Stegostoma tigrinum: one gene and its partners. The main gene of each other region encodes a partner of the protein of the gene in region 3 in a complex. Links are inferred from orthologs where the notes say so. Each region holds a gene or a part of one and is shown on either strand. Other genes may lie near its edges.

Evidence for each region.
Region 1: the proteins of parp1 (region 3) and timeless are in contact, whole or in part, in a crystal structure (PDB 4XHU), measured with the Homo sapiens proteins. The link is inferred for Stegostoma tigrinum from reciprocal best matches to the Homo sapiens genes PARP1 and TIMELESS. Residues at the interface, in NP_001609.2 of Homo sapiens: Gln846, Lys849, Pro850, Phe851, Leu854, Arg878, Ile879, Ala880, Pro882, Asn928, Lys940, Lys943, Gly944, His946, Tyr992, Asp993, Ile994, Ala995, Gln996; in NP_003911.2 of Homo sapiens: Asp1036, Gln1040, Pro1043, Val1045, Pro1046, Leu1047, Thr1048, Glu1049, Glu1052, Glu1053, Glu1056, Ser1074, Gly1075, Gln1076, Glu1077, Thr1078, Phe1079, Arg1081.
Region 2: the proteins of parp1 (region 3) and smyd2a are in contact, whole or in part, in a crystal structure (PDB 9CKC), measured with the Homo sapiens proteins. The link is inferred for Stegostoma tigrinum from reciprocal best matches to the Homo sapiens genes PARP1 and SMYD2. Residues at the interface, in NP_001609.2 of Homo sapiens: Thr526, Leu527, Lys528, Gly529, Gly530, Ala531; in NP_064582.2 of Homo sapiens: Thr105, Leu108, Val179, Asn180, Cys181, Asn182, Gly183, Phe184, Thr185, Glu187, Leu191, Ser196, Ala203, Met205, Tyr240, Ile241, Asp242, Ser257, Tyr258, Asn380.
Region 4: the proteins of parp1 (region 3) and histone PARylation factor 1 are in contact, whole or in part, in a crystal structure (PDB 6M3I), measured with the Homo sapiens proteins. The link is inferred for Stegostoma tigrinum from reciprocal best matches to the Homo sapiens genes PARP1 and HPF1. Residues at the interface, in NP_001609.2 of Homo sapiens: Thr825, His826, Asn827, Ala828, Arg865, Met890, Lys903, Asn906, Tyr907, His909, Ser911, Gln912, Gly913, His934, Lys953, Ser983, Leu984, Leu985, Tyr986, Glu988, Thr1011, Ser1012, Leu1013, Trp1014; in NP_060337.2 of Homo sapiens: Asn234, Val236, Asp261, Arg264, Leu265, Phe268, Gln272, Glu273, Thr276, Phe277, Gln279, Phe280, Asn282, Asp283, Glu284, Cys285, Tyr287, Tyr304, Lys307, Val308, Gln311, Leu315, Leu319.

The regions. Positions count from the first base shown.
Region 1 is NC_081404.1:19,204,404-19,212,050, reverse strand, and holds the start of timeless (protein timeless homolog), read left to right. Parts: upstream 1-4,527; 5' UTR 4,528-4,672; intron 4,673-7,154; 5' UTR 7,155-7,176; coding exon 7,177-7,261; intron 7,262-7,647. UniProt on the Homo sapiens protein: Plays an important role in the control of DNA replication, maintenance of replication fork stability, maintenance of genome stability throughout normal DNA replication, DNA repair and in the regulation of the circadian clock.
Region 2 is NC_081362.1:56,733,146-56,741,004, forward strand, and holds the start of smyd2a (N-lysine methyltransferase SMYD2-A), read left to right. Parts: upstream 1-4,733; 5' UTR 4,734-4,948; coding exon 4,949-5,097; intron 5,098-7,859. UniProt on the Homo sapiens protein: Protein-lysine N-methyltransferase that methylates both histones and non-histone proteins, including p53/TP53 and RB1. Specifically trimethylates histone H3 'Lys-4' (H3K4me3) in vivo. The activity requires interaction with HSP90alpha.
Region 3 is NC_081357.1:10,326,885-10,334,634, reverse strand, and holds the start of parp1 (poly [ADP-ribose] polymerase 1), read right to left. Parts: upstream 3,193-7,750; 5' UTR 3,161-3,192; coding exon 3,047-3,160; intron 1-3,046. UniProt on the Homo sapiens protein: Poly-ADP-ribosyltransferase that mediates poly-ADP-ribosylation of proteins and plays a key role in DNA repair.
Region 4 is NC_081356.1:127,097,746-127,104,815, forward strand, and holds the start of histone PARylation factor 1, read left to right. Parts: upstream 1-3,861; 5' UTR 3,862-4,315; coding exon 4,316-4,360; intron 4,361-5,464; coding exon 5,465-5,630; intron 5,631-7,070. UniProt on the Homo sapiens protein: Cofactor for serine ADP-ribosylation that confers serine specificity on PARP1 and PARP2 and plays a key role in DNA damage response.

The DNA of each region.
Region 1 (7,647 bases), on a different chromosome or scaffold from region 3:
TGTGTCTATCATCACGCTGCTTACTGCCCAACATTTTTTTTTGTTTTTCAAAAGATTCTCCTTGTTCATGAATCACTTTTATGGTGAGCACCTGCTCTTCCCCACCCCCCACCCCCCACCCCCAAAACACACTCCATCTCTAACATCCTATAATTCCCTATTTCTGAAACTAGGACTGAAGGGTTTGAGTTACAGGGAGACATTAAATAAGCTGGGGCTTCTTTCCCTGTATTGCAGGAGGCTGAGGGGTAATCTGGTAGTGGGTTTATAAAATGATGAGGGGCATGGATAGGGTGAATAGTCAATGTCATTCTCCCCCCAGGTGTAGGGGATTCCAAAACTAGAGGGGCATAGGTTTAAGATGAGAGGGGAAAGATTTGAAAAGAACCTAATGGGTAACTTCTTCACACAGGGGGTGGAGCATGTATGGAACAAGCTGCCAGAGGAACTGGTGAAAGTCATTACAATTGCAACATTTAAAAGGCATCTCGATAGGTATATGAATAAAAAGTGTTGAGGGATATGGGCCAAATGCTGGCAAATGGGACTAGGTCAGATTTGAATGTATTGTCAGTGTGGACAGCTTTGGCTGAAGGGTCTATTTAAAGCTGTACAACTTTTATGACTATGACTATTATTATCTCCTACGACCTCCTATCTCTGTAATCTCCCCCATCCCTCCTTATATGTCACCGCCACCTACACCCTTCCCTGTCAACACCCTTCCCTGTCACCTTCTCCAGCCCCTAAAACCATCTCAAGATCTTTGCTCTGGTCCAATTTTGGACTCTTCAGCATCCACAATTTTAATATCCACATCATAGGCAGCTGACGGAGCAGGTTTTGGAATTCCTTCCCCAAATCTCTTGTGTCTTGCTTTCTTTCATTCATCCCTTTTTAAGATGCTCCTTTAAAGGCTACATTCTTGATTTAAGCTTATGGTTACTTGTTCCTCATACTGACTTTGGTGGCTCGGGTTAAATTTTGTCTCATGTCCCTGTGGAGTACCTTGGAACATTTACATTGCACCCCAATATAATTAAATGCAAATTATTGACGTGAGAAGGTGAATACTGGAATGACCCAGTGGCTAAACGCACAACTGAGATTTAGGGAGCTGTGTGGCTACATCGGACTTCAGTATCTTTGGGTAAAGATGGAGTAAATATCAGCTAAAGTTGTCCTGATGTTTATTGCTACCCACCTTTGCTAGCAAACATTGATGTGTGCAGATGTTTGGTGAGGACCAAATTGGATTTGATTGTGATGTTCTTTTCGGGTGACATACCATCAGTACGTTCATACATAAAGAATGGGCAGTTGGGGTAAAATACAAGAGGGGTTGCCATTCTCGGGCTGAGGTTTACTCCTCCTCTTCCTCCAGGGTACTTTGTAAAACCTAGCACTTTGAAGTTTTTGGTTGCCTGAACCTAATCTATGTGACTCGGTGTCAAATTTTGTTTCATCACTCCTGGTGAGTCATTTTGTTTTTACTATTTTAACAATGCTATATAAATTCAAATTATTGTTGCACTTTTCACCCTTCCAATGTAATAGATGTAAAATAATAGGCCAAGGCAAATAGAAGCAGGTGGGTTGTTAATACTGTGCGGTAAATAGGACATCAGATACTGAGTGTCATAGAATGTAAGAAATAGGAGTGGGGGTATAGGTCAAAGGGGGTATAGGTCAAATGGCACTTTAGCCCGCTTTACTAGTCAGTAAGATCCTGACGAACCACCTGTCTCAACTAATTTCCTGTCAGTTTTCCATATCATTAGGTTGCCTGAGAGGTCAAAATCTGTCTACTTCCGCTTGAATATACCCAACAATTGAGCTCTGCAATGGACACTTCCATTGATTCACAACCTTTTGAAAGAAGAAATGTCTTCTCATCCCAGATTAAACAATTAATTCATATTGTGAGTGTAGCCCATTTTCCCCAACCAACAGAAACAATCAGTGTCAACTCTCAAGTCTCTCCAGAATCTCTCTGTTTCAGTGCTATTGACGTTCATTCTTCTAAACTCTAGACAGCATAGGCCCAATTTACTCAGCCTCTTATGGGACAACGCTGTCACCCCCATGTGCTCAGCAATGGGGATAAGATTGGGGAGTGATACCAGGTAAAGTGTTCCTGTGGAGAGCCTGTGCAGACAATACTGATTGGCCTCCTGCATTGTAACTATTATAAGGTACTCCAGATGTGTTCTCTCCAAAGCCCAATACAATTGTGGCAAAGTGACTTTTTATTCTTGTACCTGCCTACTAATTTTGTGTTCGTTTGTACATGCACACCTATCTCTGAACATTAACATTTAAAATCACACCTATTTTTAAAACATCTTCTATACTGAATACTAAAGTGAACAAAATTACACTTACCCCCACATTAATCTTGATCTATTTCCCCCCCCCCCCCCACCCTTGTTGCCCAATTACTTAATCTTTCCACAGTGTTGGTGTCTTCACCGCACTCCTCCTGACCTAGCTTTCTACTGTAAGAAAATTTAGTCGTATTAGTTTGTCTCTTTGTCTAAGACATTAATATAAATTGTAAATAGTTGAGGCTGCATCACTGATATTACATTTGCGGAATTCCACTAATTCTACATGTAGCTGCCAACTTGAAAATGCCCTGTTTAATCCCTATTTTCTGCTTCCTGTCTGTCAACTGATGCTCTTCATGCTAATCTATTACCTTGATCTCCATGAGCTCTTATCTTGCATGTTGACTTTTTCTGCAGCACCTTTATTCAAGTATGTTCTATCTTCTGACTCTCTGTTATGTACCTTTATAACATACAACTTCAAAAGACTTCAATAAATGTTCAAATATGACTTCTTTTTCATAAAACAATTTTGATCCAACTGGTCATGCTACAATTTTCTAAATGTGTTAAGACTTCCTCAACAATAGATTCCAGCGTTTTACTGATGACTGACTTCAGGATAACTGGCCAGTATTTCTCTCTCTATCTCTCTCTTGCCTTTCTCAAAGAGCAGTTACATTTTGCCAACTTCTGATTTGCTAGAATCATTTTAGAAACCAGTATAGTTTGGAAAATCCTAACCATATAATCATTTTCTTTGCATCCACTTCATTCAAAATCCTAGGATGTTCACTGATACCATTGAATTTTTTTTAAAGATTTTAAATGAAGGGCAGGAGGAACTTTTTGTGCATACAGTTGTGAGACTGGAATTAATTTGCAGTCATAAAAGCAAAAAACCACAGATACTGGAAATCTGAAATTTAAAAAAAATTCTGAACAGACTCAGCAGGTTTGCCAGCATCTGTGGGAGGAAAAAGTTAGTTTTGAATTGGGTATGACTGTTCTTTGGAACTATTCTGAAGAAGAGTCATGTTGAATTAGGATAGTGGTTAAGGCAGAAACAATGCCAGTATTTCAGATTAGACTTGATGGGTGTATGAAGGCAAAAAGGTTGAAAAGGATATGGAAATGTTATATAATTGTGTTTGGTTCATGTGGTGGGTTAATGTTGACCCAAGCTGGTGGAATGAAATGGACCTCTCGTGCATTGTTGCATGAAATGTAGAAAAATATGAAACAATGTTAGGTGCAGTGATCCTTCTACCTGTTATGGCAATTAGTTCCATGAATGTTTTTCAAAGTTTCTTGGGGTGACATCACACTCTAAGTGTAGGAGCTGTCCTCCTGACAACCTGGAGTATGATGTAAACAAAACGATTTGAACACTTAACAATCGAGGAAATGGATCTTTCATGGAAGAAAAGCTGAAACACTTTTAAAATTAAAGGCTTCTGTTCAATGGGTAACCAAAAGATCATTTAATTCATCGTGAACAGAACTTGTGATTTTTAATGCAATAGGTAATAAGCTTTTTAGCAGTTTTCTTTCATGGTTTTATTGAGTGAATTTTACAAAGTGTGCAAGATGTGCAGTTTCTACTTTGGTATGCCTGTATGTCGGGACTGCTGTGTGACAAGTGAACGTTCCCAGAAGCAAAACGTGAACGTCAAATTCCTGGCGGTTGTATTTCCCTTTCCCGGGGGGGGGAAAAGTATATCGTCACGAACAGGATTCGAACCTGTGCGGGGAGACCCCATTGGATTTCGAGTCCAACGCCTTAACCACTCGGCCACCGTGACTCATACTAAAGCAATTTAAAGGGGTTTTAATACAAGATTGGAGTGGGCTCACAGTTATTCGGACGAGACAGTGTTATTCTACTGTTCTAATATGCTTTGTTCTGAAATCGCGTATAGTAAAACGTTCTCTGACGATCACCTATTCGGGGAAATCCGGAATATCTGACACAAAGTTAATTTAGCGTTGCAGTTCTCCGCCTGGACTGTTTTAAATGCGCCTCGAGAGGGGTGGCCTGAATCAAGACACATATCTGTTACATTTAGTACGCAGCCCTCTCTAAAATTTACCAAGGAAAGGATAATATTTTAAAGAACAAATACTAATAATACTTTTTCTTGTGTGTTCGCAGGTTGCATATTTCTGCTTTTTGTTTGTTTCTCAGGTCTTCACCCCCCTGCCGCCTCCCAGTTGGGCGGTTCCGGGGTTGGCGGGAATTCTTGGAGCGCGGAATGTTCAGATTTTAGAAGGACAATCGAGTTGAAATATTTCAAGCATTTCAGTCATAAGCACTTGGAAATTGGCTTGCAAAACCTAAGGTGAGCTTGTCTCTTTTATTCCTCCGTTTCAAATCGTTCGGTTCCCCCCAATTTAAATCTTTTCAGTCAAAAACGGGATGATTTTGGAGCAGACGGAGGTCATTCTGCTTGATCGTGCCTGTACCGGCAAATTCACCATTGCGATTTGTCGGTGTCGGGTTGTAAACGTATCCACAAATATTCCTTTTTGGATCCGAAGTTCTTTTAGCCAATTTGATCTCTTGACCATCATCTATTCCTTCCCCCTCCCCCTTCCGTCCGTCCCATATTTTTCTTATTGAAGCAGTACCTCATTTTACTCGATTTTGTGTTTTATATGGCTGCATGACTTTAAAACAAATTTCGAGCCTGAATCTCGCTAATCCATTGAAATCTTAAATTATGGAAAGCTCAGCGTGTCCGTAGAAATCAGCTGACATTTCTTTCTGACACTCCGATGAATGAAGGGCTCTGGGTTTGGGGGAAGATGTCATTTACGTTGGAAAATGCTTCTACAGTTTAAGTGAAACTTCCAAGCACTTCTGCCCCATATTTATGTTTCTCCATGTTGCTAACTCTCTTTCACATATAATTGAAAATTAAGACTTGCTTTCTCCACATTTTTTAGCGGACTCAACAACCATTTACAAGATGCACAAAAATGTAGGTCTTTGATGTCATAGGTTCCCCTGCTTTGTATGGGAAGTGTTGTCACTGGTGCTGTCACATCAGTAACACTCTCCATAAAAAATTGCTTTTTTCCCCTTTTAAATCTTGTGCACTTCCTAACTTTACTGTAGACAACAATACAACTTTTCAAGCCTTACCCAATACAGTTTGCACTGCCAATCGTCCTCAAACTACAGTAGGACTGTTGAGGATAATAGAGAGAGGGAGGATGTTCTGTTAAATTAGCTCATGAGACATTTACTTGAAGGTCCAATAAATAATTGTGTTGCTTGGTATTGCACTAAATGGTTCCAGGTTCAAATTTTAATTACCTAGAATTATCTTGCAACGATCTCTGCCTATAAATTCTTTGACTGTGTGCTTCCCTCCACTTTACCTGACGAAGGAGGAGCGCTCCGAAAGTTTGCAATTTTACATAAACCTGTTGGACTATAACCTGGTATTGTGTGGCTTATGACAATTCTTCTGATCTAATTTTAGAAATTTGGAGTGTTACATTTGGCATCAATGGCAGGGGAATGTGGGCCTTAGGTACAATAACAATAAAAAAAATATTAAAGGTATTACCAATTGATCACAAGTGGAATGGAAAAGATTGAAACTCCAGTCATCCTGCTGACCTCCTGGGGTTGGGCTTGCTTTTTCTTTGGGATGGGAAATGTATTTTTAACTCCACAAGAAGAGATGAGATTTGTTTTCCTCTGAGGGCTGAGAGCCTTGGAATCCTTAGTGTAGGAGCAAGGCTCTTCAAGTCCACACTGACTCTCTGGAGAGCATCCCACCTTATTCCTGTAACTCTGCATTTTCCATGGCTTATCTACACATCCCTGGACATTATGGGTAATTTAATATAGCCACTCCAACTAACCCGCATGACTTTGGACTGTGGGAGGAAACCAGAGCATCCTCATGCAGACACAGGGAGAATGTGCAAACTCCATTCACTCAGTCACTGAAGGTTGGAATTATACCAGTGTCCCTGGCAATGTGAGGTAGCCATGCTAAGGACTGAGCCACCCTTTGGGGTCTTTGAAGTACTCTTCCTCAGTAGTGGAGGCAGAGTCTATGAATACTATTAAGACTAACAAGGGAGTTAAAAGTTAGCATGTTTGACAGGAAGGTGGAGTTGAGGACAAAATCAGACCAACCATGATCATGTTGAATGGCAGTGCAGGCTTGAAGGGCCAAATGGCCTACTCCCCATTCGTATGTTCATAAGACCTCAAGATGTCTACCAGTCCCTCTTTTCAAGGATGCACTAGGCAACTTTTGCCAATCCTGTTAGTCTCAAGAAACTGATGGGTCACTTGTCCAGCATCCTGTTTTGCCATGTCTCTAGTAATGTCAGTGGTGGCGGCACTGTATTTTTCTATATTCCACAGCAGCATGATTAAGACCAGAAATTCTTAGCAACCATTTTGCTATTTTCTGCTATTACCTGAAACTGGACAGCAAATGCAAGCAGCACTTGGCAAGTGTGGTTGTATTTTAAACAGAAATGGAGTTATCATATAGATTGATGACCATTGAAATGTGCAATGGTAGGAGTGTGGGAGTAGCACAACTTTTTGTCCTTTTTTTGCACCGATGTATCTATTTGATTTGTATCTTCCATCCTTTTATAACATCACTTCATTTGCAGTGTACTTTTAAGCAGATGACAAAATAATTCTTCCACACTCTGTTTTACAACTGGAGCAATTACACCCTTTTTTCTCGCTCTCTCTCTCTCTTCTTTTACCCACACCACCACCCCCCCCCCCCACCCCCCCGCCCTTCCTTTGTTTGTCCTATGTCTCGACTGCTTTTGAAGAGTGCACTGTGTGCGTCTGAACATGATGAACTGTGAACTATTAGCAACATGCAGTGCCTTGGGATACCTGGAAGTGGACAACTATCACAAAGAGCCTGATTGTTTAGGTGAGTTGTTTCAAGCCTGTACTCTTAGTCATGCTTTAAATCCTGAGACCTGATTCTTAAAACTATATGAAAGCTGTATCTCACAATTGACAGGGTTTTCTGGCAGTCATCATCCATAAACTTAGGGGGAAACTGGTGACACAGTAGTATTGTCATTGGACCAGTAATCCAGAGTTCAAATCCTGCCAATTAATTTTAAAAGGACTGAAATTAAACAAACAAACTAGGACAATGAAAACTATGAAATCATTTTTGATTTGTTCACCGATGTCCTTTAGGGAAAAATCTGCCATTCACACCTGGTCTAGTCTACATATGATTCACAGCAATGTGGTTGAGTCTTAAATGCCTTCTGGAATGGTGCCGAGCAAGCCACTCTGTAGCTA
Region 2 (7,859 bases), on a different chromosome or scaffold from region 3:
TAACCCCTCCCGCCCTCCCCACCTTCACTCACCTTTACTGGCTCCATCCCCGCCCCTTTAACTTGTCTGTCTCCTCTCCACCTGTCTTCTCCTCTATCCATCTTCTCTCCGCCCCCTCTCTCCCTATTTATTTCAGAACCCTCTCCCCATGCCCCCTTTCTGATGAAGGGTCTAGGCCCGAAACGTCAGCTTTTGTGCTCCTAAGACGCTGCTTGGCCTGCTGTGTTCATCCAGCCCCACACTTTGTTACTTAGGATCCTCCAGCATCTGCAGTTCCCATGATCTGCGATACAATGAGCAAGGGAGCTGCGCAGTTCAACAGGCCCTCCAACCAGTAGGTGGTGACAGTGAGGGATGGCAGCGAAAACAGTGAAATGTCCTCTCTCTGGGAAACAGGTTATTGTTGGAAAGTAGGCCTATGGGAAAAGTAGGAGTGCAAATAGACAAAGTAATCTGTAGTCTAAGTGATTCAAAGGTTTTCTTCAATATACATATGTTTCTTATTTATCATTAATTTCCATTTATCTTTGTAATGATCTGATGTCAGTGAAAGAAATAATCTTTGCTTCATGACATTTGAGCTTTCCAAATATTTGAATGCCTTGTTATATCTTCTCTCCCTGGTTGGAAGAGTCTAACAGAACACATTTTCTGTGCTACGAAATCCATGGTCATCAAACATCAAGCAATTTAGTCAGGATTTTCAGATATCTATGTTAAATTCATATGCCAGTCCTTCAGGCAATGGCTCAACCTTAACAGTAGTCTTCATGTTTAGGTAACAGATCCAAATGGTGCAGCGTTCCCACAATCTCACCATGTGAACCACATGGACGTGACATTCTGTTGGAAAGAAGGGAGAAAATGTGACAACAGCATGATCAGCCAGCGTGCAGACAGTTGTCCAAACTGGAAATGGAACAAGGCATTTGGTTTGGGATTTCCCCATGAACACATGGGTCCGTGGAAAGACACTAAGTCATTTTGTACAGCCTGGCATAATAAACAGTGGTCAAGTTCGGGGGCATGGATAGGGTAAATAGACAAGGTCTTTTCCCCAGGGTGCCAAAACTATTGGACAAAGGTTTAAGATGTGAGGGGAAGTATTTAAAAGGGACCTAAGGGACAACTTTTCACGCAGAGGGTGGTGTATGTATGGAACGAACTGCCAGAGGAAGTGATGTGGGCTGGTACAATTACAACATTTAAAAGGCATCTGGATGGGTATATGAAAAGGAATGGTTTGGAGAAATATCACTCAAATGCTGGAAAGTGGGCCTAGATTTTTTAGGATATTTGGTCAGCATGGATGAGCTGGACCGAAGGGTCTGTTTCCTTGCTGTTTATGACTCTAATTAGATTACATACCTATACTGCAGCTTAAGGCAGATACCAAGGGTTCAATACAGCAGAAAGCCTAAAGGAGTATATGAAATGCAGTTGGGAACTTTAAAAGGAAAATAGATCAGCTAGGAGAGCGCACGACAAAAGTAGAATACAGGAAAGCCCATTAAGGTTTTTTTAACATATAGAGAGGGCAAGAGAAAATCTAGTGAAACAGTAGGACCCATTGGGGACCATAAAGGTAATGTGATGACCCAAAAAGATGTGGACACAATCCTCAATGATTATTTTGTGTCAGTCATCGCAGTGGAAAAGGATAATGCAGGTATAGATATCAAAATGGAGGACTGTGAAATTGTAAAATAAAATACCCAAAATAAGATACAGAGGAAGCACTAATGGGTTTAGCAATCTTAAAAGTGGATAAATCGACAGTCCTTGTTTAGATGTGTCCCAGGAGACAAGAGAAAGGATATCAGGGTTCTGACAGTAATTTTCAAATCCTTTCTGACCACAGGTCGATGCCAGAGGATCAGAGGACTGCTAACATTGTCAGATTAAATAAAAACAAAGGCTGGACAGGATAGACCAGGAAATTACAGGCCAGTCAGTCCAACGTCAGTGGTGGAGGAATTATGAGAAAGAACTTTGAGGGACAGAATATTCAAACTTGGAGAGGCATGGATTAATCAGGGATAGTCAGCAAGGATTTGTTAAGGGGTCATGTTTGACAGATCGACAAAATGTTTGTAGGAGGTAACCAGGAGTGTTGATAAGAGCAGTGCATTTGACATGGTTTTCTTGTACTTTAGAAAGGCTTTTGATACGGTCCCTCACAGCAGAGAGACAAGTTAACTAATACCAAATAAAAACCAAAAGAACTGCAGATGTGGTAAATCAGGAACAAAAACAAAGTTGCTGGAAAAGCTCAGCAGGTCTGGCAGCATCTGTGGAGGAGAAAATAGAGTTAATGTTTCAGGTCCAGTGCCCCTTCCTCAGAACAACAGAGTGACAAGTAACTAATACCGCTTGGGATTTAAGGCAAAGTGATAGATCCATGCATTATGGTAATGCATTTTATGTGGTCTTCTTGGACATTAGTAAGGCTTTTGATAAGGCATTTTTGATGTGGTTTTTGAACTGGCAAATTGTATAAGAAAGTAAAAGTCATGGGATCCAAGGCAAACTAAGGCAAAATTGGATCTGAAATTTGGTGTGAGGCAGGAAACAGAGGGTGATGTTTCTGCAATTGTATTTGTGTTCCCAGAGGAATTCTGCAGTGCTGAGGCCCTTGCTGTTTGTGGTATACATGAGTGATTTTGACTTAAATGCAGGGGCTATGATCATCTGGAAACCAGCTCCAGTGCAACAACGTACAGGTTTAATTCAGGCACATGCCAGTGCTTGTTTGTAGCTTCCAGCAGAGAGGCAATCTATAATATTAAAATAAAGTTAATTTGGGTAAAATTTTCACAGAGGTTTAAATTGAACATAACATACAAATTTACAGGGCCTCCTGAAATGAAGGGAGTGTAATTTATGAGGCTCATTAAAATTCTGATGTATGGGCATTAATAAATACTTATCTTGAATGTTTTTTACATTGAACACAATTGCTGTCTGAGCCACAAATTGTACTCACAATTGCACACATTTTCAGGAGCTTATTTCCATTCAAATTTCCATCCAAACTTGTTTGCTTATTGCCAAATACAAAATCTCCCATGACTCAGTCCAATTAGGTAGCATTTTATGGCATTATTTTGTTTGCATTTATTGTAGTCCTTGATATATTTAAAGAAGGCAATCTAGTTACATTTTATTTGTGCAGCTGAAAACAAGTTTATCACAAAAAGCTAACAATTTTAATCAGAGTGTCAAGAGTGCCATCTGTGAGTGACATGGTATTAAGTATAATGAAAATTACTTTTGATAGAAACTATTTGGAACAATTTACCAGTTTTTAATATGTATTCATGGGATGTGCATGTCAATATCATGGACATAATTGAAAGAGTTCCTCAGAGTAGTGTCCTAAGCACAACCATCTTCAGCTGCTCCATCAATGACCTTCCCCCATCATAAGGTCAGAAGTGGGGATGTTTGCTGATGATTCCACAAAGTTCAATACTATTTACAACTCCTGATATGCTGAAGCAGTTCATGTCCATCTGCAACAAGAGCTGGACATTATCCAGGTCTGATTATCCACAGGCAGAAAAACTCACTGGACTGTTAACATTAATTGTGGCATAACACCTGCTGATCCAGGTGTGATCAGTTAACAAAATTAAACAGTAATCTTTCTTTAGTGTAGACAAATTGTGGGTTTTAGTCCAATTGCATGACCTAAGCATTGGAAATTTAAAATACTCTCAACGTGTTGAAAAACTTCTACTGTCTTCATCTCAAAGAAGCAAATTTTTTATGATGCTCCCTTTTTTGTAAAAAAAGTAATTTACTGCTTGTAAGAAGTGTTGTGGCAGAATTTGTTTTTTGAATGAGATATGGCCCAAACTGAACCCTTAGGTACATGTAAAATATCCCATGGCTCTGTTTTGAAAAAGGACAGGGAAATTCACCTTGCTATTCTGGTCAATACTTATCCCTACATTACAGAAGCAGATGATTCTGGTGGAGGTCTCAAGTCAGAGTTTGCTGTGCATAAAATGGCTGCTGCATTTCCTACTTTACCCCAGGCACTATACTTCCAAAACACTTCATTGGCTGTAAAGCACGTTGGGATGTGGTTTATGGAAGGTGTAAAACAAATGCAACCAGTACCCCCACCCCCAAACAACACCAACAGAATAAAATTGAACAGCGTGATCTTGGGGATACTGCCGGACCGGATGAACGCTAATACATTTCTTATTGTTTTAAAAACTGTTAAATGTACACATACTTGTTTTTTAATACAGCTCACTTTGTTTCTTTTACTCACCAAAACTGCCCCGATTTTAAAACTAGGTTTTGAATTTCTCTGAATACAAGGCGCAGAGCTGAATGTACACAGCAGGCCAAGCATCAGAGGAGCAGGAAAGCTGACGTTTCGGGTGTGGACCCTTCTTCAGAAAATGAAGGGCCTAGACCTCAAACGTCAGCTGTCCTGCTCCTCTGATGCTGCTTGGCCTGCTGTGTTTCATCCAGCTGCACATGTTGCTATCTCAGATTCTCCAGCATCGGCAGTTCCTACTACCTTTGGAATTTCTCAGTTTTTTTTATTGATTAAAAAAAAATACACATAGTTGTTTTCGACACAGCTCACTTCGTTCCTTTTAATACTCAAAAACTGCACCGATTAAAAACAAAACCTAGGGTTGGAATTTCTCAGAATAAGAGTTTGTGTAAATTCCCCTGAGGGTTACCAGGAGGGAACGGCTTGTTGGAATGAGGCGAGCGCTTGGACCCGGGAGGAGTAGGGAAGCAGACAACCCATGACTGCAGCAATGAGGAGGGAGCGCTCAGCCGATTCCATTTAAGTAGCTGCTGCCGGACGGAGTGGTGCGAGTGAGTGTTGCCGGCTATGGAGCTTGATCTCTGCGGAACACAGTGAAGCCGGGTCGGGCTCAGAGGAAGGCCTGGGCCGCTGCTGCTGGGTCCTATGGAGAGGTTCCTGAGCGAGGGTAAAGGACGGGGACTGCAGGCTCGCAAAGAGTTTGCGATCGGAGAGCTACTCTTCACATGCCCAGCCTACACTCATGTCCTGACTGTCAACGAACGGGGCAATCACTGCGAACTCTGCTTCGCTCGGTATGTGGGTTGTAATGAAGCCTCTTGCGCTGCAGCTTCTCGACTGTGAGCATTGTTTTTTTTCGCCTGCCTGAATAGCCGGCACGATCCCACTACTGCAGCGCTTTCATCTGGGTGCGACTCAGTGTGGAATCAGTACTGAGTTCCTCGCGTTGCTTGGAACATTTTTTTTTATTGTGAGTTCTTAACCAGAACTAAACAGGTTTTCCTCATAGATTCTGCAACTGGTGTGGAATCTGAGGGTTCATTTGAGGTTGAAAACTTGGAGAGAATCTGGGTGTGAAAAGAATGATATAATAAAGGTTTTAAAACTTTTGCAGCCAATTTAAATGCTTTATTTGAAGGGGAACTGCAGTTGTAATTCTGGATATTTGTGAGAAATGAGGATCTTGGGTTGCCTGAGTTCAAGAGGGATTTCCATAGTCAAAACGTTTGCAGCGGCAGGTGGTGACCAGCAGATATGGGTTTAAAGTAACCAGATCAGAAATGAGAATTTGAGATGTTCAGATCTGGAATGCACTAGTATTAGTGGTTAGTTTGAATAGTAATTTTCAAGAGAGTTGGTTTAATATGTGAAATGCAAAAAATTTGCAGGACCGTGAGGAAAGAGCAGGGAGTGAAACATTGCAAGATCTGGCACGTGCAGGCAGGATGGGCTGAATAGTCCTGATTCTATGGATTTTCTACTATTGATGTTAGCTGGACAAGCTTTTTATGTGTTGCCCTCTGGTGGCAGGAGCCTAATCCCATATTGGTGCAGCCATTTTGTACATGCAAGTTTTTTTTTGTTGTAGTTGTATTAAAGCTTGGTTTTTTTGTTTTTTTTGCCCCAACTACTGTTGACATTGAATCAGATAAAGAAAGTAAGCAAGCCCATGGGTATACTAACAAAGGATTGCTACAGCACAGAGGAGGTCTTTTGGTCCATTGTGCCCATGCCAGCTCTTTGAAAGAGCTTTTAAATTAGCTCAATTTGCCTGTATTTCTCTAGAACTGTGCAATATTCTCCCTTGGAGATTGATGTAATTCCATTTTGGAAGTTACCGTTGAATCTGCTTCCAACATCCTTTCAAGCAATGCATTTAAAGCTTTTTCTTAAATACTGTTTATGCCACCCTTTTTTGATTTTTCATTTTTGCTGTTAAATTTAAGATCTCTGCTGTGTTGTTACTGACACTTCACTTAATTTACTCTACATCCCTTTATAGTTGAGAATACTTTCATTAAATCTCCCGTTGAATGGCTCTGCTTTAAGGGAAACAGCTTCTCTCATGTGCCCGGTAACTGCATTTCTGCAACTCTGGTACTATTCTAGTATGTCTTCTGCCTTTTCTCCAAGGTGACATTATTCAGTCGAGAATGTGGTGATCTGAAACTGGTTCAGCACCACTGTTTCTTTCTTAAATGAAAATTAAACAGAACTTTTTTTTTGTAATCTACACTTCTGTTTATAAAGCCTATAATCTCCTGTGCTTTTTTAACAACCCCATTCTTCTTAATAATATGTCTTGCAACTTAACAGAGAAGTAAAAAGTATCTGTCATGTTTGCTCGTTTCACTAGTATAGCCTCCTTTACTCAGCTAGTATCTTCCCACTGTTTGAGTTACACATCATCCACCAAGTTTGAAACTGTGTATGCGCCATTTGCACATATCTATGTATGAAAGTATAGTCACACTGACATCTACTCACTCAATTCCTCGCATTTTTAATTTTTGCTTTTAAATTTTAAACTGTTTTTCTAATCAACCTGCTCAGATATGTTAGTTAGTATGCTCCTCGAGCAAGTGGAACTTGAATCTGAGCCTCCTAGCCCACACTACCACTGCACCACAAGAAAAAATGATTTACCAATCTGCTTTCCCATAGTCAGTTTTATGTCCCGGTTGTCACAGCTCATTTAATCCCTTGCATTTCATTTTTCTAATAAGCTTATTGTGTGTTACTTCTTCAAACACCTGTTGAAAATCCAAAGCACAATATCAACCTCAGAACCCTCAGGATTTCTCATAGTACGTTTTTCAAAGAACATGTTTGATTAGATTGACTGCATTTAACAAACCCATGCTGGCTGGCGCTATTGAACCATATATTTTCAAGCAAAAGTTTATTTTTGTCTTCAATTCTATATCTAAAACGGCTTCCACTACTAACACTGGATTGACTGGCCTATAATAGCAGTGTTTACACTCTGCTTTGCTTTGCTTTGAATATGAGAGCACAATTTTGCAAACCTCTGGCCTTTTCTCCTTATTAAAAGATTTTGGTTTGTGGCGAGAACTTTCCTCAGACATCTTGTGCTATCCATCCAGACAGATGACTTTTCTTCTTTGGGGATGACATTTTAGATGCCTCCACTTTATCTATCCAGTTTCTCCATATCTCCTTTTTGTTATTACATTGGCAGCTTCATCTGCAGTGCAAAACAGATACAACATGTTCACTTTAATACTGCTGCCATACCCTCTGCCTGCAGAAGAATTGTACATAATTGATCTGACTCTTTCCCCAAAACATGTAATTGATAAAGTGGAATCAAAGTCTTTTGGGAGTTCATTTTTACATTGCCTATAAATCTGTCCCAGTACCTTCTCTCCACTACCTCCATCACGTCATCTCTTCTGTTCTTTATACATTCGGTTTAGTTGTTATTAAATAATTCAACTGAAATTTGTAGTCCGCGTCTCCTCCCCCAGCCTTCGTTTAAAGTTCTGTCTTTACTCATCCAGGGAACTATAGCAGAGATAGTAGGAACTGCTGA
Region 3 (7,750 bases):
TCATTCAACAGGATCATGGCTGATCAGACATTGCTCACGTCCACTGCCCTATGTTTTACCCATAACCCTCAATTCCCTGACTGATCAAGAACTATCTCAGCCTTAAATAAGTACAAGGACTCTGTTGCCACAGCTCTCTGTGGCAAGGACTTCCAAAGACTCTCAATGCTCTACAAGAATAAATTCTTCCTCATCCCAATCTTAAATTGGCACCCCTTTATTCTGAGAATGTGCCCTCTGGGCTTAGACTCTGCCACGATGGTAAACATCCTCTCAACACTGGATTCTCAAGGGGCTTGACACTGTCAATGTGTTTAGCGAGGGAGGATCAGGACCTGAAGGATGTTCTGTCTCACACACAGTGGGAAACACGTGGCAACATGAGTGAACAGCAGAGTAAAAACTCAACATTCGTTTCAGAAAAGTTTGCATCCTACGTGGGGCAGGAGGCTGTCTCTGCAGGAATGCACAATGACAAGGGGCTCAATATCCTTAATGACCGACACTGTTCCACTTTGATGCCTCTCAGCACAATATAAAACAGTTACACCACAGAAAGAGGCCATTCAGCCTACGCATTCTGTACAAGAAGAACTCAAGGTGGTAATCCAATCCGCAGTTCTTTCGGTTTTCACTCATTTCAGACTCGTTCCCAATTTTTACCAACTCTCTCAAATCCCCCTGTCGATCTTTTCTCTGACCCATTGACATAACTCATCTCGTGAATCTTTACTGCATCCTCTCAAACAGCTCTGCCTGAAGTGTGGTGCCCAGAACTGCACACTATACTCGCAGCGAGGTCAAACCGACCTTCCAGAAGGGCCCGTCACACATTTCTTGACTTTGTACACAATGCGTCTGCAACAGAATCCCTCGTGCCTTCTTAATGCCACATTTTCAACTTGCTATGCCACTTTCAAGGGTCACAGAGATCCACAGCACAGAAAGGGGCTCTTCAGCTCATCCCACTGCCTATAGGTTCTGTAAACACATGCAGGTATCCCCTGGCCTCTGTGTTCCTGCACCCGACTCCCACTACCCAATTAGAATCACATTCTTTCTATTATTTTGCCAGCCTTCATTCTTACTTCCAAACAATAGGTTTTGCTGAGACTTCCTGCTCTCCTTGTTCTGGTTTCACCACTCCAGCCTCCTCCCTCCAGTCTTCATCCGCATGTTAATGACTGCATTGTTCTCTGTTTGCTGCTTACACCCCTGCACTGGAAAATATCATCAACTTCTAAACCACCCCCTCAACTTCAACATGGTTCATCTTCAACACTTCCCTTCCCCTGTGTCTCTATTTCTGAGACTGATTGCTGACTAACATTCATTGTAAGACCACTAACTCCCACACTGACCTGGTTATACTCCCCTCCACTGCAAAGACTGCATTCTCACAGACTGTTTGTCTGTGAGAGCGAGCCCGAGTTTCCCTCCCACCTGCCCGCCCCTCCCTCCCAAATGACCAACCCCCATCCCAAATCCTTACGTACACTGGCTCCATCCCCACTTCCTTGACCTGTCTGTCTCCTCTCCACCTATCTGCTCCTCTATCCACCTTCCATCATCACTTCCTCCTCCCGCTATTTATTTCAGAGTCCCCTCCCCCTCCCCCATTTCTGAAAAAGATGCAGCTTGGCCTGCTGTTTTCATCCAGCTCCACACTGTTATCTCAGATTCTCCAGCATCTGCAGTTCCCATTATCTCTCTCTCCACACCCTAATCGTCAGCTTTCCTGCTTCTCTGATGCTGCCTGTCCTGCTGTGTTCATACAGCTCCACACCTTGTTATCTCAGACTCCAGCATCAGCAGTTCGTACTATCCCAGAGATTCCTGTGGCTATTTTAGTTCTCCACCTTACTCTCAAACTGACATCCCTGCCCTGCTGCCAGCCAATGTTCCACTCTGCAAATTGGCACATTACAGTCTTCCACATTCAACATGGATTTCAACAATCCTGGAATGTAAATCCTGTCTCTCTCTCCCCGCTGTTTTCTTTCCAGGCATCAGCCTTGCTCCGCACTCCACTCGATTTGATTCCTGAAGACAACTGTCCATGATTCTCTTTACTGTCCCATTATCACCCTCTTCGGCTCTGAGCAACTGAAAGATGGGTCACTTAGTGTTTCCTGTCTTACGTCCCATGACATTCCACCCAGCCCCTCATTTAAAACTTGCTTCTTGTGTCCTAGCTCTGATCAAACACTTAACTGTGACGTTAAACACCACACACACACACACACACACACACACACCAACTGAGTAGCTTCTCTCTCCACAGATGCTTCCAGACCTGCTGAGCACGTCTTGATTCCACTTCTCAGACCTTCCACTGTTTTTTTTGGCTTACAACAGCATGCTTGTGGTCCTCTGCAATATTCCCAACCCCCCCTTCCACTTGCATTGTCTGAGCCACAAGACCCAGCTGATCCAGTTAGTTATGTGGGTCAAACAGCATTTCTGAAGATTTAAAATTCCCCTCGGATTCTGACCGTGCCTTTTGCTGTGAAAGAATCTGTCTCAAAAGTGTATATATATATAAAAAAAAACGAAACGCAGGATTTCACCAGAGGACGACCACTCTGAGCTCAGTCTACAAGGTGGGCATGCGTCTGCAGATAATCACTGGGATTTTTAGCAATGCATTTGGGGGAAGAAAAAAAAAGAGGTTTTCGCAATTAATATTTAATCAACGGGGGAGGGGGGGGGTCACTTTGAAAATGGGGCTTCTGAAGAGGATGGAAGTTGCAATGATTTTCAATGAATGTTGCAGGCCTGGCTTACAGCGTGAGTCATCAGCAAAACACAGCAGCTCAGAAAGGTCAAAGAGGTGGCGGATACAAAACCCAGAATCACCAGAAACGGAATAAAAAATAATGCATTTTGAAAAGGAGCAGGATGCATGCCCACAAAAAACCTGCGGCCGCCCCGGTCTACAACACGAGGCCTGCACGCTGAAGGGGGGGGGGCGGGGGGAACATCCCCGCTGCCAGTCAGCAGCCCGGGGCCAAACTCTCGCCGGTCCCGACCAGCGATCGCTCACCTGCACCATGATGGCCAGCCGCAGCGAGTCCTTGGCGATACTTTCGCCGCATTTCTTGCACGACGCCCGCCCGCTCTTCGCATACTCCGCCTTGAAGAGCTTCTCGTCGGCCATGGCGACGCAGCAGCTGCACGGCCCCGCCTGCAGGAGGCAGCAGCGGGCACCCCACTCCCAGCGAGCGCGGGAAAGGGGCGGGGCCCTGCGGGGGCGGGACTGACACGGGAGGGGCGGGGATACGGGGGAAGGGGTACGTGGGCACAATGTGATTGACAGGGCACGGGGGCACAGTGTGATTGACAGGGGCACGTGGGCACAGGGTGATTGACAGGGCCACGTGGGCACAGTGTGATTGACAGGGACACGTGGGCACAGTGTGATTGACAGGGCACGGGGGCACAGTGTGATTGACAGGGACACGGGGGCACAGTGTGATTGACAGGGACACGGGGTGATTGACAGGGGCATGTGGGCACAGTGTGATTGACAGGGCACGGGGGCACAGTGTGATTGACAGGGACACGGGGGCACAGTGTGATTGACAGGGCACGGGGTGATTGACAGGGGCATGTGGGCACAGTGTGATTGACAGGGCACGGGGGCACAGTGTGATTGACAGGGACACGGGGGCACAGTGTGATTGACAGGGGCACGTGGGCACAGGGTGATTGACAGGGCACAGGGTGATTGACAGGGCACAGTGTGATTGACAGGGCACGGGGCACAGGGTGATTGACAGGGGCACGGGGGCACAGTGTGATTGACAGGGCACGGGGCACAGGGTGATTGACAGGGCCACATGGGCACAGTGTGATTGACAGGGGCACGTGGGCACAGGGTGATTGACAGGGCACAGGGTGATTGACAGGGCCACGTGGGCACAGTGTGATTGACAGGGACACAGGGGCACAGTGTGATTGACAGGGCATGGGGCACAGGGTGATTGACAGGGCCACGTGGGCACAGTGTGATTGACAGGGGCACGTGGGCACAGGGTGATTGACAGGGGCACAGGGGTGCAGTGTGATTGACAGGGACACGGGGGCACAGTGTGATTGACAGGGCACGTGGGCACAGTGTGATTGTTATGGGCACAGGGTGATTGTCAGGAGCACATGGGCACAGTGTGATTGACAGGGCACATAATGACTGACAGACACATGGGCACATAATGATTGACGTGGGCACAGTGTGATTGACAGGGACACGTGGGCACAGTATCATTGACAGGGACACGGGGGCACAGTGTGATTGTTAGGGGCACATGGGCACAGTGTGATTGACAGTGGCACGTGGGCACAGTGTGATTGACAGGGACATGTGGGCACAGTATGATTGACAGGGACACGGGGGCACAGTGTGATTGTTAGGGGCACATGGGCACAGTGTGATTGACAGTGGCACGTGGGCACAGTGTGATTGACAGGGACATGTGGGCACAGTGTGATTGACAGGGACACGGGAGCGCAGTGTGATTGACAGGGACACGGGGGCACGGTGTGATTGACAGGGGCACGTGGGCACAGTGTGATTGACGGGGCACGGGGGCACAGTGTGATTCTCAGGGACACGTGGGCACAGTGTGATTGACAGGGGCATGTGGGCACAGTGTGATTGACAGGGCACGTGGGCACAGTGTGATTGACAGGGCACGGGGGCACAGTGTGATTGACAGGGGCATGTGGGCACAGTGTGATTGACAGGGCACGGGGCACAGGGTGATTGACAGGGATACGTGGGCACAGGGTGATTAACAGGGCACGGGGCACAGGGTGATTGACAGGGCCACGTGGGCACAGGGTGATTGACAGGGGCATGTGGGCACAGGGTGATTGACAGGGCCACGTGGGCACAGGGTGATTGACAGGAGCATGTGGGCACAGGGTGATTGATAGGGCACATGGGCACAGTGTGATTGACTGGGGCACAGTGTGATTGACAGGGGCACGTGGGCACAGTGTGATTGACAGGGACACGGGGGCACAGTGTGATTGACAGGGCACGGGGCACAGGGTGATTGACAGGGCCACGTGGGCACAGTGTGATTGACAGGGGCACGTGGGTGCAGTGTGATTGACAGGGGCACGTGGGCACAGTGTGATTGACGGGCATGGGGGCACAGGGTGATTGACAGGGATACGTGGGCACAGTGTGATTGACAGGGACATGTGGGCACAGGGTGATTGACAGGGGCATGTGGGCACAGGGTGATTGACAGTGATACGTGGGCACAGTGTGATTGACAGGGACACGGGGGCACAGTGTGATTGACAGGGCACGGGGGCACAGTGTGATTCTCAGGGGCACGTGGGCACTGTGTGATTGACAGGGCACGTGGGCATAGGGTGATTGTCAGGGGCACGTGGGCATGGTGTGATTGTTATGGGCACAGGGTGATTGTCAGGAGCACATGGGCACAGTGTGATTGACAGGGCACATAATGACTGACAGACACATGGGCACATAATGATTGACGTGGGCACAGTGTGATTGACAGGGACACGGGGGCACAGTGTGATTGTTAGGGGCACATGGGCACAGTGTGATTGACAGTGGCACGTGGGCACAGTGTGATTGACAGGGACATGTGGGCACTGTGTGATTCTCAGGGGCACGTGGGCACAGTGTGATTGACAGGGGCACGGGGGCGCAGTGTGATTGACAGGGACACGGGGGCACGGTGTGATTGACAGGGCACGGGGCACAGTGTGATTGACGGGGCATGGGGGCACAGTGTGATTGTCAGGGGCACGTGGGCACAGTGTGATTGTTATGGGCACATGGGCACAGTGTGATTGACAGGGCACATAATGACTGACAGAGATACATGGGCACATAATGATTGACGTGGCCACAGTGTGATTGACAGGGACACGTGGGCACAGTGTGATTGACAGGGGCACGTGGGCACAGTGTGATTGTTAGGGGCACATGGGCACAGTGTGATTGACAGGGACACATGGGCACAGTGTGATTGTTATGGGCACATGGGCACAGTGTGATTGACAGGGGCACATGGGCACAGTGTGATTGACAGTGACACATGGGCACAGTGTGATTGACAGGGGCACATGGGCATGCTGTGATTGACAGGGACATGTGGGCATGCTGTGATTGACAGGGACACGTGGGCACGGTGTGATTGTCAGTGGCACGTGGGCACAGTGTGATTGACAGGGGCACGGGGGTACAGTGTGATTCTCAGGGGCACGTGGGCACGGTGTGATTGGCAGGGCACATGGGCACTGTGTGATTGACATGGCACGAGGGCACAGTGTGATTGTTATGGGCACAGGGTGATTGTCAGGGGCACATGGGCACAGTGTGATTGACAGGGACACGTGGGCACATAATGACTGACAGAGACACTTGGGCACATAATGATTGATGTGGGCACAGTGTGATTGACAGGGACACGTGGGCACAGTGTGATTGTCAGGGGCACATGGGCACAGTGTGATTGACAGGGACACGTGGGCACAGTGTGATTGACAGGGACATATGGGCACAGTGTGATTGACAGGGGCACGTGGGTACAGGGTGATTGACAGGGACACGTGGGCACAGTGTGATTGACGGGGCGCATGGGCACAGTGTGATTGACAGGGGCACGTGGGCACAGTGTGATTGACAGGGGCACGTGGGCACGGTGTGATTGACAGTGACACATGGGCACAGTGTGATTGACAGGGACATGTGGGCACAGTGTGATTGACAGGGACATGTGGGCACAGTGTGATTTACGGGGCACATGGGCACAGTGTGATTGACAGGGGCATGTGGGCACAGTGTGATTGACAGGGGCACGGGGGCACGGTGTGATTGACAGTGACACATGGGCACGGTGTGATTGACAGGGACACATGGGCACAGTGTGATTGTCAGGGGCACATGGGCACAGTGTGATTGACAGGGACACGTGGGCATAGTGTGTTTGTCAGGGGTACATGGGCACAGTGTGATTGTCAGGGGCACATGGGCACAGTGCGATTGACAGGGGCACGTGGGCACTGTGTGATTGTCAGGGGTACATGGGCACAGTGTGATTGTCAGGGGCACATGGGCACAGTGTGATTGACGGGGCACGTGGGCACAGTGCGATTGACAGGGCCACATGGGCACAGTGTGATTGATGGGGCATGTGGGCACAGTGTGATTGACAGGGCACGTGGGCACGGTGTGATTGACAGAGGCTCGTGGGCAGTGTGATTGATAGGGATACGTGGGCACAGTGTGATTGTCAGGGGCACATGGGCACTCTTCTCGAAATGCCCACCTTCAAGAAATTGTCCTCCTCCCTCCGGAAAGATCTCAGTGGACCTCCCTCCCACTGCAACCCTCTGGGCACTCAGTTATCGCCATCCCACCTACCTTTCCCAGCCCCACCCCTCCTATCTTTATTTATTTCAGAGCCCCCTCCCCCGCCCCCATGTCTGAAGAAGAGTCCTGACCAAAACGTCAGCCTTCCTGCTCCTCTGATGCTGCCTGGCCTGCTGTGTTCCTCCAGGTGCACAATGTGTTGTCTCTGTACCCGGCATCTGCAGTTCTTGTTATCTCTGAATCAGACCAAGTTGGGGTGGTCAAACATGGACCAAGCGGTCTATATCCATGCTGCACTTCTCTATGACACTAAGAAGATAATTTGCAGAGTGACAAATAGAGATAGAGTAACAAACTGCTCAGAAATTTTTTTTTACTTTTTCACTC
Region 4 (7,070 bases), on a different chromosome or scaffold from region 3:
GGTCTGAGAGAGGTTCCCGTCAACGTCCTCACAAGGTTTCTCACACTCACTCCGTCAGTGCAGCTTGTCGGTCTTTGTTAAAACAGACCACTGGATCTTTAACCCGACCTCCTGTGGGAAGATCCACACAGGATTAGCTGGGCACCCTTCAGGATGTGTGCCAGAAGATGGTGGGTACCCTTCTTCAGGAGAAAGCACCATTCTCTCGTCAACAGGACATAGAGCAAAACGAGTCACAGTGACGCTAGATTTCCCCAGGAGATACCACGGTGATAAAGAGCTGCTCAATTCCAAAAGCAAATGTTTCACTGCTGATCCATTTTTTGTTTTTTGGTTATTGGGATGTGGGTGTCACTTATTGGGCCAGTATTTATTACCCATCCCTAATTACCACAGGGCATTAAGAATCAAGCACATTTCTGTGGGCCTGGAATCATGTGAAGCTGAGACCAGGAAAAGACAACAATTTCCTCCTCTGAAGGGCAGGGGTGAATCAGAGGGGTTTTAACTACCATTGACAATGATGTCACAGGACCCAGGAAGCCTGGGTTCAAATCCCACCTGCTCCAGAGGTGTGTAATACATCTATGAGCTAGAGGACTTCGGTGAACCGGGAAAGATTCAAAAGGGACTTGAGGGGCAACGTTTTCATGCAGAGCGTGGTGTGTGTATAGAATGAGCTGCCAGAGGAGGTGATGGAGGCTGGTCCATTTACAGCATTTAAACAGCATCGATGGGATCTGAATAGGAAGAGTTTAGCGGATTATGAGCCAAATGCTGGCAAATGGGACTAAATTAGTTTAGAATATCCTGTTGGCATGGATGTGTTGGACAGAAGAGTCTGTCTGCATGCTGTGCATCTCTGTACAGGTTGATTAGAAAGACATCCTTTATTTAGAGATTTTCATTGAATTCGAAAATTCATCATCAGCCATTGGTGGGATTCAAATCCATGTGGCCTAGAATGTTGGTTTTGGGTTCTAGATTTCTCTTCCAGTGACATTCATAGATGTTTGATTACTCTAGGTCAGGTCAGCACAAGGAGGGGGAATGTGTTGGGTATTCTAAAAGGCATTAGGGTGGACGAGTCCCCAGGTCCAGATGGGATCTATCCCAAGTTACTGAGGGAAGCGGGAGAGAATATAGTTGGATATCTTTGCATCCTTGAGCACAGGTGAGGTCCCGGAGGACTGGAGAATTGCTAATGTTGTCCCCTTGTTTAAGAAGGGTAGCAAGGATAATCCAGGCAATTGTAGACCGGTGAGCCTAACGTCAGTGGTGGGGAAACTGCTGGAGAAGATACTGAGGGATAGAATCTATTCCCATTTGGAAGAAAATGGGCTTATTAGTGGTAGGCAGCATGGTTATGTGCAGGGAAGGTCATGTCTTACCAACTTGATAGAATTCTTTGAGGAAGTGACAAAGTTGATAGATATGTGAAGGGCTTCATTAAGGCATTTGATAAGGTTCCCCGTGGTAGGCTGATGGAGAAAGTGAAGTCGCATGGGGTCCATGCTGTACTAGCTAGATGGATAGAGAACTGACTGGGCAACAGGAGACAGAGAAGTTTCTCAAAATGGAGAACTGTGTCCAGTGGTGTTCCACAGGGATCCATGTTGGGACCAACATTGTGTGTGATATACGTAAATGATCTGGAGAAAGGTATAGTTAGTCTGATTAGCAAGTTTGCAGATGACACTAAGATTGGTGGAGTAGCAGGTAGTGAAGGGGACTGTTGGAGAATGCAGCAAAATATAATCAGATTGGAGAGTTGGGCAGAGAAATAGCAGATGGAGTTCAATCCAGGCAAATACGACTCCCCTCTCCACCTATCTTCTTTTCTCTCCATCTTCGGTCCGCCTCCCCCTCTCTCCCTATTTATTCCAGAACCCTCACCCCATCCCCCTCTCTGATGAAGGGTCTAGGCCTGAAACGTCAGCTTTTGTGCTCCTGAGATGCTGCTGGGCCTGCTGTGTTCATCCAGCCTCACATTTTATTATCTTAAATACGAGGTGATGCATTTTGGAAGATCCAATTCAAGAGCAAACGATACAGTAAATGGAAAAGCCCTGGGGAAAATTGACGGGCAAAGAGATCTGGGTGTTCAGGTCCATTGTTCCCTGAAGGTGGCAATGCAGGTCAATAGGGCATACAGCATGCTTACATTCATCAGACAGGATATTGAGTACAAGAGTTGGCAGGTCATGTTACAGTTGTATAGGACTTTGGGTCAGCCACATTTGGAATACTGCATACAGTTCTGGTCGCCACATTACCATAAGGATGTGGATGCTTTGGAGAGGGTGCAGAGGAGGTTCACCAAGATGTTGCCTGGTATGGACGGCGCTAGCTATAAAGAAAGGTTGAGTAAATTAGGATTATTTTCATTAGAAAGTCAGAGATTGAGGGGGGACCTGATTGAGGTCTACAAAATCATGAGGGGTATAGACAGGGTGGATGGCAAGAAGCTTTTTCCCAGAGTGGGGGACTCAATTACTAGGGGTCATGAGTTCAAAGTGAGAGGAGGGAAGTTTAAGGGAGATATGCGTGGGAAGTTCTTTACTCAGAGGGTGGTGGGTGCCTGGAACACGTTGCCAGCAGAGGTGGTAGATGGAGACACAATACTGTAATTAGATTAGATTCCCTACAGTGTGGAAACAGGCCCTTCGGCCCAACAAGTCCACACCGCCCCTTGGAGCATCCCACCCAGACCCATCCTCCTATAACACACACACCCATGAACACTACGGGCAATTTAGCATGGCCGATTCACCTAGCCTGCACATCTTTGGACTGTGGGAGGAAACCGGAGCACCCGGAGAAAACCCACGCAGACACAGGAAGAATGTGCAAACTCCACACAGACAGTTAACCGAGGCTGGAATCGAACCCGGTTCCCTGGCGCTGTGAGACTGCAGAGCCAACCACTGAGCCACAGTGCCGCCCAACATCTTTTAGGATGTATCTGGACAGGTACATGGATGGGCAGGGAGCAAAGGGATACAGATCCTTGGAAAATAGGCAACAGGTTTACACGGAAGATCTGGATCGGTGTAGGTTTGAAGGGCCTGTTCCTGTGCTGTAATTTTCTTTGTTCTTTCATTCCCACTACACCAGCAGCTCCCCAGGCAAGAATGGAACTTCATTCCCAGTTTGTCTGTGGCTCATACCAAATCTGAGACAGGAAGATGCCTCAGTAAACGGCAGAGGGGAGCTGACTGCGTCCCTCAGGCGGAGTCGATCAGTTGACTGACTGTGCCCCTGTGGCAGAGGAGAGGAGCTGACTGTGTCCCTCTGGCGGAGGCGGAGATCTGCACCTCCCAGTCGCAAACCATTTCCACTCCCCCTCCCATTCTTTAGATGACATGTCCATCATGGGCCTCCTGCAGTGCCACAATGATGCCACCTGAAGGTTGCAGGAACAGCAGCTCATATTCCGCTTGGGAACTCTACAGCCCAATGGTATCAATGTGGACTTCACCAGTTTCAAAATCTCCCCTTCCCCTACTGCATCCCAAAACCAGCCCAGTTCGTCCCCTCCCCCCACTGCACCACACAACCAGCCCAGCTCTTCCCCTCCACCCACTGCATCCCAAAACCAGTCCAACCTGTCTCTGCCTCCCTAACCTGTTCTTCCTCTCACCCATCCCTTCCTCCCACCCCAAGCCGCACCTCCATCTCCTACCTACTAACCTCATCCCACCTCCTTGACCTGTCCATCTTTCCTGGACTGACCTATCCCCTCCCTACCTCCCCACCTATACTCTCCTCTCCACCTATCTTCTTTACTCTCCATCTTCGGTCCGCCTCCCCCTCTCTCCCTATTTATTCCAGTTCCCTCTCCCCATCCCCCTCTCTGATGAAGGGTCTAGGCCCGAAACGTCAGCTTTTGTGCTCCTGAGATGCTGCTGGGCCTGCTGTGTTCATCCAGCCTCACATTTTATTAACTGACTATGTCCCTCTGGTGGAGGTGGCTGATTGACTGACTTTGTCCCTCTGGTGGAGGGGGGAGCTGACTGTGTCCCTGTCACGGAGGACGGCAGCTGAATGTTTCCCTCTGGCGGAGGCGGTCAGTTGTCTGACTGTGTACCTAGGCGGAGGAGAGGAGCTGACTGTGGCCCTGTGTCGGAGGCGGGGAATTGATTGACTGTGTCCCTCTGGCGGAGGCAGGCCGTTGACTGACTGCGGCCCTGTGGCGGAGGCGGAGAGGTGACCGTGTCCCAGTGGCGGAGGCGGGGAGCTGACTGGTTTGGGGGTGTGTTCAGTGTGTCTCCGTCTTTATTCTGCCGCCCGGGTAAAGTCGCGTTTGCTGAATATGGCGGGACGCGGGAAGAGGAAGGCTGCATTCAGAAGCTCCGAGGTAAATGGATGAGGATAGTCTGGTGAATACGGGATTGTTTTCAGCGTGATACACTGTAGCTCCGGAAGTAACAATGTGTCCCAGGGATTAAAGAGCAGCAACATTGTTTCACTAAATGTTACTAACAATGTCTTTACTAAAGTGTTAGTAAGTCTCTCATTGCAAAGATATTAGATGCGACAATGGAGCAGATTCTTTGCTCCAGTGCTGTTTTGGATTAAGTGAGGCATTGACCCCATAAGCCTTACCTGCACCATTTATTTTCAGATAAATGTGTGATATTTTTGACAAAAGGAAAGGTATTGAGTGTCTCGCCTATATCAGAGGGAAGGGTGGAACAAGACTTCTGTCAACTAAAATGACGACAAAGAACTGCGGGAGTTGGAAACAAACAAAACCAGCCTCAACACAGCTGGTCTGGCAGCATCTGTGGAGAGAGAGAAAACAAGAGTTAACGTTTTGAGTCACTTCTGTCAATTGTATGTTTCTGTGAAAGGCCACGTGTTTTTTCAGTATTTTTTTACAAAATATGTGCAGAAACCTCCACTACCCAGGATACAGGGAGTAGACTTATGGGGAACTATTAAAAACAGCAAATTCCCCTCCAAATCACCAGCAACAAAGGTGAAAACGTTATACAGTGTCTCTTTTGTTCATTTGTTATTCAGCACAATGTGGGCACCACTGACAGGAACAGCATTTGTTGACCATTCCTAATTGCCCTTGAACTGAGTGACCTACTAGACCATCTCAAAAGGCAGGGTTAGAAAATAAAAGAATGAGAGGTGACCTTATTGAAACATTCAAGATTCTCAGGGACTTGGCAGTATAAGCGCAGAAAGATTGTTCTCCCATATGAGAGAGGCTTGGGCCAGAGGGCATCTGTAAGTGATCCCACTTATTGACTGTAGTTTTGCCTTTGATGCCACAATTCCAAACAAACTAATCCCCAAACTCTTAGAGAACTAGGTCTCTGCTTCCCCCCTCTGTAACTGACTCCATCTACACTTCCTGCTGCCTCGGGAGCTGTTTTAGTGTTTTGGGAATGTTGCAGTGTTTACTGTTTGAATTATTTCAGTTTTCTTTGTGATTCATTTACCTCAGTCTAAGAACCCGGTAGCTGAAGATGGTAAGAAGAACCGAGGAGAGAATTCCAGCATTCCTGAGGAACTGCGACAAGAAGTTCGGGATCTCTACAAGCTACAGATGCCAGAAGATTTTTATCACTTCTGGGAATTCTGTGAGAAGCAAGATCCAGAGAATCCATGCGGTACGCAACCCCTGACCCCGTCTCGATTAGTGTTCTCAATGCAGAAACCAGTCAGGCATCTGTGGCTAGATGAGTGGGAGAGGTTTAGGGAGAGAAGATCTCCTGAAGATCCCCCTTCCCACTTGCTCCAGTACTTGTACCCTTAAAAACCATCAGCCCAGTCCTAATTCATGAAGTTCCTTATGGCCTGGTTTGGTTGAGAAGAGAAGTAGTTATCTGTGGTACACATGGAGTCAGAGGTTAGCCATGTGGATACCGGCCCTACAGCCCATCTTGCCCATGCCACACAGTTTCCACAATTAATCTAGTCCCATTTGCCTGCATTTGGTCCATATCCCTCCATACTTATCCCATCCATGTACCTGCCCTCTGGACTCTTTTGTTTTTAGTCTCTCCCCTCTGACCTTAAACTGTGGAGGCCATTCTACCCCTGATGTCTGTGCTGGATCTTTGGAAAAGTGATTTTGCTTATTCCCATACCCCAACCTTGACCCTGTAGGTTCCTCATCCTCCAGCATCTGTCCATCTTCCTTCAAAGATCGTGAAGTAGCAGAATTCTATCTCTGCAGAAGCTGCCAGACCTGCAGAGCTTTTCCAGCAATTTCTATTTTAGAACATAGAACATAGAACAGTACAGCACAGAACAGGCCCTTCAGCCCACAATGTTGTGCCGACCATTGATCCTCATGTATGCACCCTCAAATTTCTGTGACCATATACATGTCCAGCAGTCTCTTAAATGACCCCAATGACCTTGCTTCCACAACTGCTGCTGGCAACGCATTCCATGCTCTCACAACTCTCTGCGTAAAGAACCTGCCTCTGACATCCCCTCTATACTTTCCACCAACCAGCTTAAAACTATGACCCCTCGTGCTAGCCATTTCTGCCCTGGGAAATAGTCTCTGGCTATCAACTCTATCTATGCCTCTCATTATCTTGTATACCTCAATTAGGTCCCCTCTCCTCCTCCTTTTCTCCAATGAAGAGAGACCGAGCTCAGTCAACCTCTCTTCATAAGATAAGCCCTCCAGTCCAGGCAGCATCCTGGTAAACCTCCTCTGAACCCTCTCCAAAGCATCCACATCTTTCCTATAATAGGGCGCCCAGAACTGGACGCAGTATTCCAAGTGCGGTCTAACCAAAGTTTTATAGAGCTGCAACAAGATCTCACGACTCTTAAACTCAATCCCCCTGTTAATGAAAGCCAAAACACCATATGCTTTCTTAACAACCCTGTCCACTTGGGTGGCCATTTTAAGGGATCTATGTATCTGCACACCAAGATCCCTCTGTTCCTCCACGCTGCCAAGAATCCTATCCTTAATCCTGTACTCAGCTTTCAAATTCGACCTTCCAAAATGCATCACCTCGCATTTATCCAGGTTGAACTCCATCTGCCACCTCTCAGCCCATCTCTGCATCCTGTCAATGTCCCGC